Arabidopsis thaliana: one gene and its partners. The protein of the gene in region 3 purifies or fractionates together with the protein of the main gene of each other region. This does not show direct contact. Each region holds a gene or a part of one and is shown on either strand. Other genes may lie near its edges.

What was found.
Region 1: the proteins of AT4G29700 (region 3) and AT1G78820 fractionate together in Arabidopsis thaliana (co-fractionation; one large-scale study listed by BioGRID). This does not show direct contact.
Region 2: the proteins of AT4G29700 (region 3) and AT1G78830 fractionate together in Arabidopsis thaliana (co-fractionation; one large-scale study listed by BioGRID). This does not show direct contact.

The regions. Positions count from the first base shown.
Region 1 is NC_003070.9:29,634,174-29,637,931, reverse strand, and holds the start of AT1G78820 (D-mannose binding lectin protein with Apple-like carbohydrate-binding domain-containing protein), read left to right. Parts: upstream 1-2,000; 5' UTR 2,001-2,163; coding exon 2,164-3,531; 3' UTR 3,532-3,758. Other genes in the region: AT1G78830 (Curculin-like (mannose-binding) lectin family protein), read left to right, coding at 1-791.
Region 2 is NC_003070.9:29,637,077-29,640,834, reverse strand, and holds the start of AT1G78830 (Curculin-like (mannose-binding) lectin family protein), read left to right. Parts: upstream 1-2,061; 5' UTR 2,062-2,326; coding exon 2,327-3,694; 3' UTR 3,695-3,758. Other genes in the region: AT1G78840 (F-box/RNI-like/FBD-like domains-containing protein), read left to right, coding at 18-350, 383-925, 1,010-1,150, 1,243-1,545.
Region 3 is NC_003075.7:14,543,398-14,547,155, forward strand, and holds the start of AT4G29700 (Alkaline-phosphatase-like family protein), read right to left. Parts: upstream 1,914-3,758; 5' UTR 1,728-1,913; coding exon 342-1,727; 3' UTR 1-341. Other genes in the region: AT4G29710 (Alkaline-phosphatase-like family protein), read right to left, coding at 3,604-3,758.

The DNA of each region.
Region 1 (3,758 bases), on a different chromosome or scaffold from region 3:
CAGATGGTCCGTACAGCATGGTGCTGGACAAAAAAGGTTTAACCATGTACGTTAACAAAACCGGTACGCCGTTAGTTTACGGCGGATGGCCGGATCACGATTTCCGCGGCACCGTCACTTTCGCCGTTACAAGAGAATTCGATAATTTAACGGAGCCGTCAGCTTACGAGCTTCTCTTAGAACCCGCACCACAACCCGCTACGAACCCGGGTAATAACCGCCGGTTACTCCAAGTCAGACCAATCGGAAGCGGAGGAGGAACTTTAAATCTGAACAAAATCAATTACAACGGAACGATTTCGTATCTAAGACTCGGATCTGACGGGAGTCTCAAGGCTTACTCGTATTTCCCAGCAGCTACGTATCTCAAATGGGAAGAGAGTTTCTCATTCTTCTCCACTTACTTCGTCCGTCAATGTGGCTTGCCGTCGTTTTGCGGCGATTACGGTTACTGCGATCGTGGGATGTGCAACGCGTGTCCTACACCAAAAGGATTACTCGGATGGAGTGATAAATGCGCACCACCTAAAACGACGCAGTTTTGCAGCGGAGTCAAGGGTAAAACTGTCAATTATTATAAGATAGTCGGTGTTGAGCATTTTACTGGGCCTTATGTTAATGATGGACAAGGCCCAACTTCTGTGAACGATTGCAAGGCCAAGTGCGATCGTGATTGCAAGTGTTTGGGTTACTTCTACAAAGAGAAAGACAAGAAATGTTTGCTTGCTCCTCTGCTTGGTACACTTATCAAAGATGCCAACACTTCTTCTGTTGCTTACATCAAATATTAGTGTTTTTTTGGGAAAGTTATTTACCGAATTCTTTTTGAATTCTTAGAGATTTAATGAATAATCGGTGTGCTTGTAATGATCCACCGTTGAATATATTGTATTACCTTAAAAAAAAGCCATCAGATGTATTTACTATATATATATAGTACCTTTGAGAATCAAAATACCATGTGAAGCATTATCATTATTTTGTTGCCTCTGACAAGAGTTTTGTAGTCCACTGGTCCTCCACTTGGAATACCGCTCACTTGGTTCTTAATTCAATTGACTACTGAGGTTTGTAGATGGTCGTTGGGACTCATACTGTCAAAAGAACAGCAAAAATTTTGTCACTTCTCCAACTCATTGGGCCTTTAGGCTTTGTCATAGCCCAATAATTCTATCTTAATCGGACAAACCGTGTGGTCCACTTCCCTTCGTACATATTTTTTACAAGTTTTGTGGTCTTACTTTTTACTTTTTAGCATTACATGGGATAAAAAGTGAAAGCTTGCCCAGCAGCTATGCATCCATCAACCATCAAAATCTGACTCACAGTACTGTTTTGGATGTCTGAACTTACATAAAAGATTCGATCATCACAAGATGATTATTGTGAGTTTTAATTTTTTTACTGTTAAAGCTGGCGGAGATGTTTTTATATCTGTTAGCATTATCTCGGAAATTTGTATATATATATACGACAGTCTAGTGGCGGGTCAGATAAAGGTGGAATGTGTAGTCTAGACTTTAGAATATATAAAATTACTTTATGAAGTATATTTACATACAAGACGGTAAAATCGAGAAATTTATATAGCTAGTTTGGGAAGTGTGGGTACTTAGTTATCCAAATATTCACTAATTTGAGTAGAGATCAAAATGGTGATCGGGTAGATTGCAATCTTGAAAGGATTTTTAGATATATTTTTACAGTTTAAAGTATTTAAACGAGTACATTCTATATTTAAAAACAAGTGTTTAAAGTATGAATCCGATTGGAGAATCTAAATTTTCTTTTGTCAAAAACGATGGTCAACTTTGTCTGAACAATTTTCATGAGATTAGTTATACAAAATTTGTGTAATAAAAACGGATTAACAACAATATATATAATTAGTGTTTTACTCACAACTTTTGTATATACGATAATTTTCGAAAATTCTCAGTAGACATATCTTATCCAAATCATAAATGAGCCATTGGTTGATCTGTATAACGAAGACACGATTTGCAGCTTAGGACCATTCAAAAAAAAAAAAAAAAAAAACTTAGGACTTTCAAACGAATACAGCCCAACGACCCAAAGTTAAGATCTTATATATACACCTAAAGGATATAGAAAATCATCTCACTCTACTACTCAATCTCAGTAAACATAAAGAACACAACCATGCTTAGGTTTGATTACTTACTAATCACGGCACTTGCCATTTCAACTGTTTCGGTTGTCATGGCCCAAGTCCCTCCCGAGAAACAATTCAGAGTGCTCAACGAACCCGGCTACGCCCCATACATCACCGAGTACGACGCGAGTTACCGATTCCTCAACTCACCGAATCAGAATTTCTTCACAATTCCTTTCCAGCTCATGTTTTACAATACAACTCCTAGCGCCTACGTGTTAGCTCTCCGAGTCGGAACGAGGCGTGACATGAGTTTCACGCGTTGGATCTGGGACGCCAATCGCAACAACCCCGTCGGAGACAACTCCACACTCTCATTCGGCCGAAACGGAAACCTTGTGCTCGCTGAGTTAAACGGCCAAGTCAAGTGGCAGACTAACACAGCCAACAAAGGCGTCACCGGATTCCAAATCTTGCCCAATGGAAACATGGTGCTACACGACAAACATGGAAAATTCGTTTGGCAGAGTTTCGATCATCCCACCGATACACTCCTCGTCGGCCAATCCCTAAAAGTTAACGGAGTTAACAAACTCGTTAGCCGTACATCTGATATGAACGGCTCCGATGGTCCGTACAGCATGGTGTTGGACAACAAAGGCTTAACCATGTACGTTAACAAAACCGGTACGCCGTTAGTTTACGGGGGATGGACGGATCACGACTTCCGCGGTACCGTCACGTTCGCCGTTACAAGAGAGTTCGATAATTTAACGGAGCCGTCAGCTTACGAGCTTCTCTTAGAACCCGCACCACAACCCGCTACGAACCCGGGTAATAACCGCCGGTTACTCCAAGTTAGACCAATCGGAAGCGGAGGAGGAACTTTAAACTTAAACAAAATCAACTACAATGGAACGATATCGTATCTGAGACTTGGATCCGACGGTAGCCTCAAGGCCTTCTCGTATTTCCCTGCCGCGACGTATCTCGAATGGGAAGAGACTTTCGCTTTCTTCTCCAATTACTTCGTCCGTCAATGCGGTTTGCCGACGTTTTGCGGCGATTACGGTTACTGCGATCGAGGAATGTGCGTCGGGTGCCCTACACCGAAAGGTCTGTTAGCTTGGAGTGATAAATGCGCTCCACCTAAAACGACGCAGTTTTGCAGCGGAGGCAAGGGTAAAGCTGTCAATTATTACAAGATAGTCGGTGTTGAGCATTTTACTGGGCCGTATGTTAATGATGGACAAGGCCCAACTTCTGTGAACGATTGCAAGGCTAAGTGCGATCGTGATTGCAAGTGTTTGGGTTACTTCTACAAGGAGAAGGACAAGAAATGTTTGCTTGCTCCTCTTCTTGGTACACTTATCAAAGATGCCAACACTTCTTCCGTTGCTTACATCAAATATTAGCGAGATTTATAAACCGAAACCAACGTGAATTCTCATAGATTTAATGAATAATTGGTGTTGTTATAATGCTTCACCGTTTTTGTTTTCGTAGACTCGCGTATTATGCTCAGTCCTAGTCAAGTATGATATTATCAAAATAAAAATGGATGATATTGATGTTCTTCAGATTATCAAAATTGAAATTAATAGTCGATCATTATAATGCGTCCTTTATACAATATTCAATT
Region 2 (3,758 bases), on a different chromosome or scaffold from region 3:
ACAAAAGACGAAATCACATGGAAAACAAAGATTTGATTAGCCAATTATTGCCGGACCACGTACTGCATGAGATACTCCTAAAACTTGCGACGAAAGATTCTGTTAAAACCAGTATCTTGTCCACGAGATGGAGATATATTTGGCAACGTGTTCCTGGATTGGACCTTAACCAAACTAACTTCAGATACAAGGGGTTAAAGGGTTTTGTCAACAGGTTTCTAGATTTGGATAAGAAATCACTCATATACCAATTGAAGTTGGAATTTGACGGCAGGAAGTATGAGACTGAAGGATCCCTTTTCAACAAGTGGGTCGACTCAGTGGTTACCCGTGGAGTTCAGCATCTTGTGGTTGTTGCTAAAATATTTGGTTCTTGCATAAGAACAATTATTGTCCCATAAAACTTCCGGGAAGCATTTCTATGTGTGAAACATTGGTACACTTGAAGCTGGTCGAGGTAGGCATTGATAGTTTTGACTCCGTTTCTCTACCTCGTCTTGAGACTATGCATTTACTATCGGTTTGGTTTTCGAGCGAAGCGGCTCTAGAGAGGCTTATCTCATCCTCCCCAGTTCTTCAAGTTTTGTACATTGAAAAAGTTTGGAATGTGGAAGTTATACGAGTGCGGTCTCAGACACTATATAGCTTGAGAATGCGTATTTGGAAAAGAGATTTAGATTGGAACAAAGATTTAACAAAAATTGGGCTAGTGATTGATGCTCCTAGGCTTAAGTCTCTGAATCTTCAAATCCACCGGTTTAAAGACCTTGTGCTGAATAGTGTATGTTCTCCGCTCAAAGTGGATATTAGTATCTCTAAAGGAGAGTTTAATCCTATTAACTCATTGACGATGAAAACATTGCGTACATTTATTGCTTGGATATCAAATGTCACAAATCTTGCACTCAATTACTGTTGTCTAGAGGTATGTATATTTTTGTAACTATTCATCCTGAATTAATCTGTCTCGAAAACTTATTACTAATTTATTCTTCTTGGTTTTTGCTAGGCTATGTATGCTTACTCTAGCTCGGAACCATTGCCTCAGTTCTCTAACTTAACCCATTTGGAAGTTTCGATGGACTCCTCTTGTTTAAAGTTGTTACCAACGTTTCTCGCAAGCTGTCCAAACCTAAAATCTCTAGAGTTGGTAATTTTATTTTTATAAGTAACTCTTGAATTACTTAACTAAACTATACATTCTCATTACGTTTTTCGTTTCTTGTCCTTGATATTATGTAGTGGGTTCACGATCATCGTCTAGATATATTGGATATCTCAAGATCAACTATGCCTAAGTGTCTGCTAATATCGCTCAAGTTTGTTACGATATACAGCACAGCTATGATATCCAGCTCGGTTGAGAATCAGGTCGAAACCGAGCTTGTCAAATACATCCTGGGGAATGCAGCAGTTGTCAAGGAGCTTACTCTTCGATTCATTTTATGGGCAGAAGAACACAGGTTTCAACTTAGCAAGCAAATCCTTGCGTTTCCAAAGCTTTCTTCTGCTTGTCAAGTCTTTCTTCATTCGTCGTTTTTTTGAACTTGTTGTGAGGATCAAGCACAAGTGTAAACGTTATGCTTCTTAGGTGTTTTTAGTTTCCACACTTGTTCCGGTTAGACATCGTAATTTTTAAAAATTTTAAGATTTATGTGATTGGTAAATTCAAGATGCCGCAATATTATTGATATCGTAGATATCTTTGTCAGCCATTATTTGTTTGGGTTTCGTTTGGTGCACATGTAAAGAATAAGATACATGGATCTCTGCTACCCATAGATACGTGTACTTAAACTTTTAAATGAAAAAGCCAAATCTTGGCCCCTCGCAGTGGCATCTAAGAAAAATCCACAACTACATTTTTTCTTCAAAACTTAACTAAACTCACAGCTTCAAGTCTATTTTACCAAGACGGTGCTGTGATATTTTACCAATCCTCATTATCCTCTCATAGGCAGAAAATCCGGTTTCAAGTCTTCTAGAAAATGATAGTATTAAGATAAATGCATAAAAGGATTAATCATTTTCTTTCGACAAGAAAATAAATTATATGATATTCAGAAAGCAAAATAGTTATGACGAATATTCGATAATCTGCACTAGACAAACCTTATCCAAATCATAAGTCGCCATCGGCTCCATTGTACAGCACCAATTTGCTTGATCTCTTCTTCTTTAATTAGTCAAGTCGCAATTAGCAACTTTGACTTTTCAAACGAATACGGCCAATATTACAAAGCTAAACAACTTATATATACCACAACACAAGATACATCTTCTACATAATCATCTCACTCCTTTACTCACACAAGAAAACAAAATCATGTCTCGATTTGCTATCTTAGTAACCTTGGCACTTGCCATTGCCACTGTTTCGGTGGTTATAGCTCAAGTCCCTCCGGAGAAACAATTCAGAGTCGTCAACGAAGGAGAATTCGGTGAATACATCACTGAGTACGACGCAAGTTACAGATTCATCGAATCATCAAACCAGAGCTTCTTCACATCACCATTCCAGCTCTTGTTTTACAACACTACCCCTAGCGCCTACATCTTAGCTCTCCGAGTCGGACTCAGGCGTGACGAGTCTACCATGCGTTGGATATGGGACGCGAATCGCAACAACCCCGTCGGAGAAAACGCTACACTCTCACTCGGCCGTAACGGCAACCTCGTCCTCGCTGAAGCTGACGGACGAGTCAAATGGCAGACTAACACAGCTAACAAAGGCGTCACCGGATTCCAAATCTTACCCAACGGAAACATCGTCCTACACGACAAAAACGGCAAATTCGTATGGCAGAGTTTCGATCACCCCACCGATACACTCCTCACCGGCCAATCGTTAAAAGTTAACGGAGTCAACAAACTCGTTAGCCGTACATCTGATTCGAACGGCTCAGATGGTCCGTACAGCATGGTGCTGGACAAAAAAGGTTTAACCATGTACGTTAACAAAACCGGTACGCCGTTAGTTTACGGCGGATGGCCGGATCACGATTTCCGCGGCACCGTCACTTTCGCCGTTACAAGAGAATTCGATAATTTAACGGAGCCGTCAGCTTACGAGCTTCTCTTAGAACCCGCACCACAACCCGCTACGAACCCGGGTAATAACCGCCGGTTACTCCAAGTCAGACCAATCGGAAGCGGAGGAGGAACTTTAAATCTGAACAAAATCAATTACAACGGAACGATTTCGTATCTAAGACTCGGATCTGACGGGAGTCTCAAGGCTTACTCGTATTTCCCAGCAGCTACGTATCTCAAATGGGAAGAGAGTTTCTCATTCTTCTCCACTTACTTCGTCCGTCAATGTGGCTTGCCGTCGTTTTGCGGCGATTACGGTTACTGCGATCGTGGGATGTGCAACGCGTGTCCTACACCAAAAGGATTACTCGGATGGAGTGATAAATGCGCACCACCTAAAACGACGCAGTTTTGCAGCGGAGTCAAGGGTAAAACTGTCAATTATTATAAGATAGTCGGTGTTGAGCATTTTACTGGGCCTTATGTTAATGATGGACAAGGCCCAACTTCTGTGAACGATTGCAAGGCCAAGTGCGATCGTGATTGCAAGTGTTTGGGTTACTTCTACAAAGAGAAAGACAAGAAATGTTTGCTTGCTCCTCTGCTTGGTACACTTATCAAAGATGCCAACACTTCTTCTGTTGCTTACATCAAATATTAGTGTTTTTTTGGGAAAGTTATTTACCGAATTCTTTTTGAATTCTTAGAGATTTAATGAATAATCG
Region 3 (3,758 bases):
TACTAAACTGGACTTTTATGGATTGAGAGGTACATGTGACTGACTGCAATATATATATAAGTAGAAATAATTAGTTTTGAGTATTGCATAGTGTGTGATGTGACTTACTACTAAACATCCTACAAAAATGATATTAATTGAATTATTTTAGGAACAATTTAGGTAATGATTTAGATATATACATTCGAATAAAAAAAGAAAAGATGCCGAATTGTTCTATTAACGTCGCTTCAGTCCACGAAACCTGGTTATTCAAAAACATTAAGGGTCACAAGATTGAGCACATAGATTAGTCACTCATTATCATCTTACTTATTATTCATGAGCTAAGTGATTTTACTTCATTTTACTTCCCTTGTTGCTCCAGAAGGCAAGAGAATGCTCCGAGGGAACAAAGAAGAACCATTGTTCGGAGCTGGTCGGAGTCCAAGAAGCTCTGCAACGACGTTATAGATCTGCACATTCTCGAATGATGGCACTTTTTTTCCTCTACTAAACCTAGAACCATGTCCGACAAAAATAGTCCTCATCGAGAAGAGCTCGTTGTCATAACCATGGTCTCCATAGCAAACTTGAGCATTTGTTCTGTTCTGTCTGACCATTAGACCTTCTCCGACAATTCCTATGATCGGTGGAATCCGATAACTCTCTGAAAAATGCAGTCTCTCTGGTAGCTTCTCCTTCAAGTAAACTTTCAAAAACTCTCCGTTTTTTACTTTCCCTGAGCTCAAAGCTTCGTTCATCTTCGCCACGACTTCCGCGTTCTTTTCGCTTTGATTCTCGACATCTTTCCCCCACTGAGGATTGATTGCTAGCACTGGGCTGTAAGCCTGGATCCAAGCCGCGGGTATCTTGATCCAATCCGCTAAGTCATCAATGTAAATCGCTTTCTCGTTACACTCACAGTTGGTCACCATTCCGTGATCACCAAGCAATATCACATGAACCTCATCAAAGATCTCCCTCTGCTTCAGCCCCTTTATCACCCTACCAATCATTTTATCAACCCTAGAAACAGCAGTCGTAACCCGAGGATCATCAGGACCATAGTTATGACCCGATTGGTCTGGCTCATCGAAATACAACATCAGTAAATCAGGAACTTCGTCCTCAAGGTGATCAAAATGGCTCAAGACCGAATCAACCCTTTCTTCTAAAGGAACTGAAAGATTGAAATGTGGACAATATCCTTCAGGGCAAGTCCAAGAACTTTTTAGAACTTCAGAGCCTGGCCAAAAGTAGGTCACAGCCTTGAGACCTTGGTTTACTGCGGTTACCCACAGCGGCTCACCTAACCACCATTTTGGTTGTAAGCCTTTGTTGAACACCTCTCCCGTAACCGGATCGGTAAACTTGTTCATGATTATACCGTGGTAAGCCGGGTAGAGTCCGGTTGCGATAGAGTAGTGGTTTGGGAATGTCATGGTGGGGAAAACCGGGATTAAACCGTGTTTGGCCTCAGTTCCTCCGGATATGAGAAGGTCGATGTTTGGTGTGTCCGTTTTAAATTGGTAACCAAACCGGAAACCGTCGCAAGAGATCATTAAAACCACCGGTTTGTTGAGCTTCTTGAAAGGCCAGGGACGCCTGGTTTTGGACGGCCGAGAATCCAAACCTTTGGTACCGGCGTTAACGGCCGCTGCGGCTGCGATGGTGGCTACGATGAAAATATTAAGAAGGAAGATGAGAGAAAGTTTGAAAGAAATAACATTTTTGGTTTTAGCCATTTGAAATAAGGTTTGTTATGGTTCTTGCAGCTCATGTTATTTATAGAGCGTGAGAATGTAATTTCTCCCTTTTTTAATAACAGAATTAGACTTTTATTGAAATTTTGATGCTGCATATTGCTCATGTAATGCATGGGCGATCGATGGTAGTTGGTACATAATAGCTAGTGATATATAAAATCAGAATTATTTGGGGTTTTGTCTTTAATTAAGGAGGATATTTAATTGCCTGTCTGTTTAGATTTTTTTTTTTTTTTTTGTATATATTATAGCTTGGGTGTTGAGTTGGTGTTTTGATTGATAAATCATCACTACTCACTAGTACAACAATTTTTAGATTACATCATTAATATCACATAGCAAAAATTAATCAGTTATTGAAATAATGGAAATGTTATTAGTGATCATATTATTACAATGAAGTACAAAAAATTGATTAAAAAAATTAAAGGGACGTTGACAAAAGAAAATTTAAATCGGACATATTGAGGTATTTGTCAAAAATAAAATTTGGACATGAAAGATTACATTTACTACTCTATATATTTGTGTCAAATGACAATAAAAAAAATATCCTCCAACTTTTGGAATTTTGACTACTTTTCTAAATCGTTATGGCAGTTTGTGAAAAATAATTATAGATTCCTTGAATAAGTACAATATAAGAGTTAGGTAGAAGTCACGTTCACATTATTGTCAGCTGCATGATCCAGATGCGGGAGAGCCGTTGATATCTGATCTTACGGTCTTGATTTAACTCACGTGTTTTCACGTTGAGATATATCCGATCCTTTCGTGGTGACTGGATGGCCTGTGTTTGACCCTTGTCCCTATAAATGTAAAATACGCTTATGCCAACTCTATACGGTTTAAAAGTGTTTGGGGACCAGCCAATAATAGAATGTAGCCAAATAAGATGGGGCTTTTGTAAGATTGGACACATTTTAGCCCAATAATTAGAAAAAATGAATTTTTTGAATGGACTTATGGAAATAAGCATATATTGATAGGGGATATGACGGTTTTACCCCTTGTTAGAGGTTATAGTGTTGATAACAACACCATCGTTGTCAACAATTTTTTCTGCAACTCAAATCCTCAATCCCTTCTCACTGCCGCACTTGCTTCATAAGCACCATATTTGTCAACACCATCACTTTTAAGTCCATCAAAAACACTATCTCTTTTGTTTCCAATTTTCTCCGTCACCAAAACGTCGTCTCAAATTAATCCAATCAATCAAGTTAAACGATTTGTTATGGAAGAAATATAAACCCTAAGAATACTATCTAAGAAACCCAAGGGTTCTACTCTTAAAAAAGATTCAAATCAATTAATCCCCAATTCATCACTAATTCTAAACCAAAAAATTGTTCGTTATTGTCAACGTAGTTCACCGTCATCACCATTGAGAGAAGTATTGGAAAAATGAAGAAAAATTGCAGAAGGGTGAAAGCGTAACATAAACAGAGAGAGAAGTACCTATTTTTATAAGCATATGAGAAGTTACCTAACTAGACAAAGGCACAGACTTAATTGTGCTGATCTCGTAATTGATCCCAAATAAGATTGTATTGTATTAGCCTTTGAGTTTTGATAAGATTTTAGATAATATGACCCAGTGGACTTTATTTTCTAGTTGAGTATTGAATACTGAATGGTTTTTAGTTACTACACATCCATCATACAAATATGATATTTTGTAATATTTAGGAACAATTTAGGTAATGATAAGGTATATGCGTACGCGATCGAAAATATAATGTCACATAGAATTATAGAAAACATACACTAGCTAGTCACTCACTCGCATTTATCAAGCTACTTACTATTTCTGAGTCTGAGTGCTCTCTTGAGCTATAAGAGATTTTTGGCTTCATTCTAACCCCCTTGTTGCTCTGAAAGGCAAGAGAATGCTCCGAGGGAACAAAGAAGAACCATTGTTCGGAGCTGGTCGGAGTCCAAGAATATCTGCAACGACGCTATAGATCTGCACATTCTCAAACGATGGCACTTTCTTTCCTCTCCTAA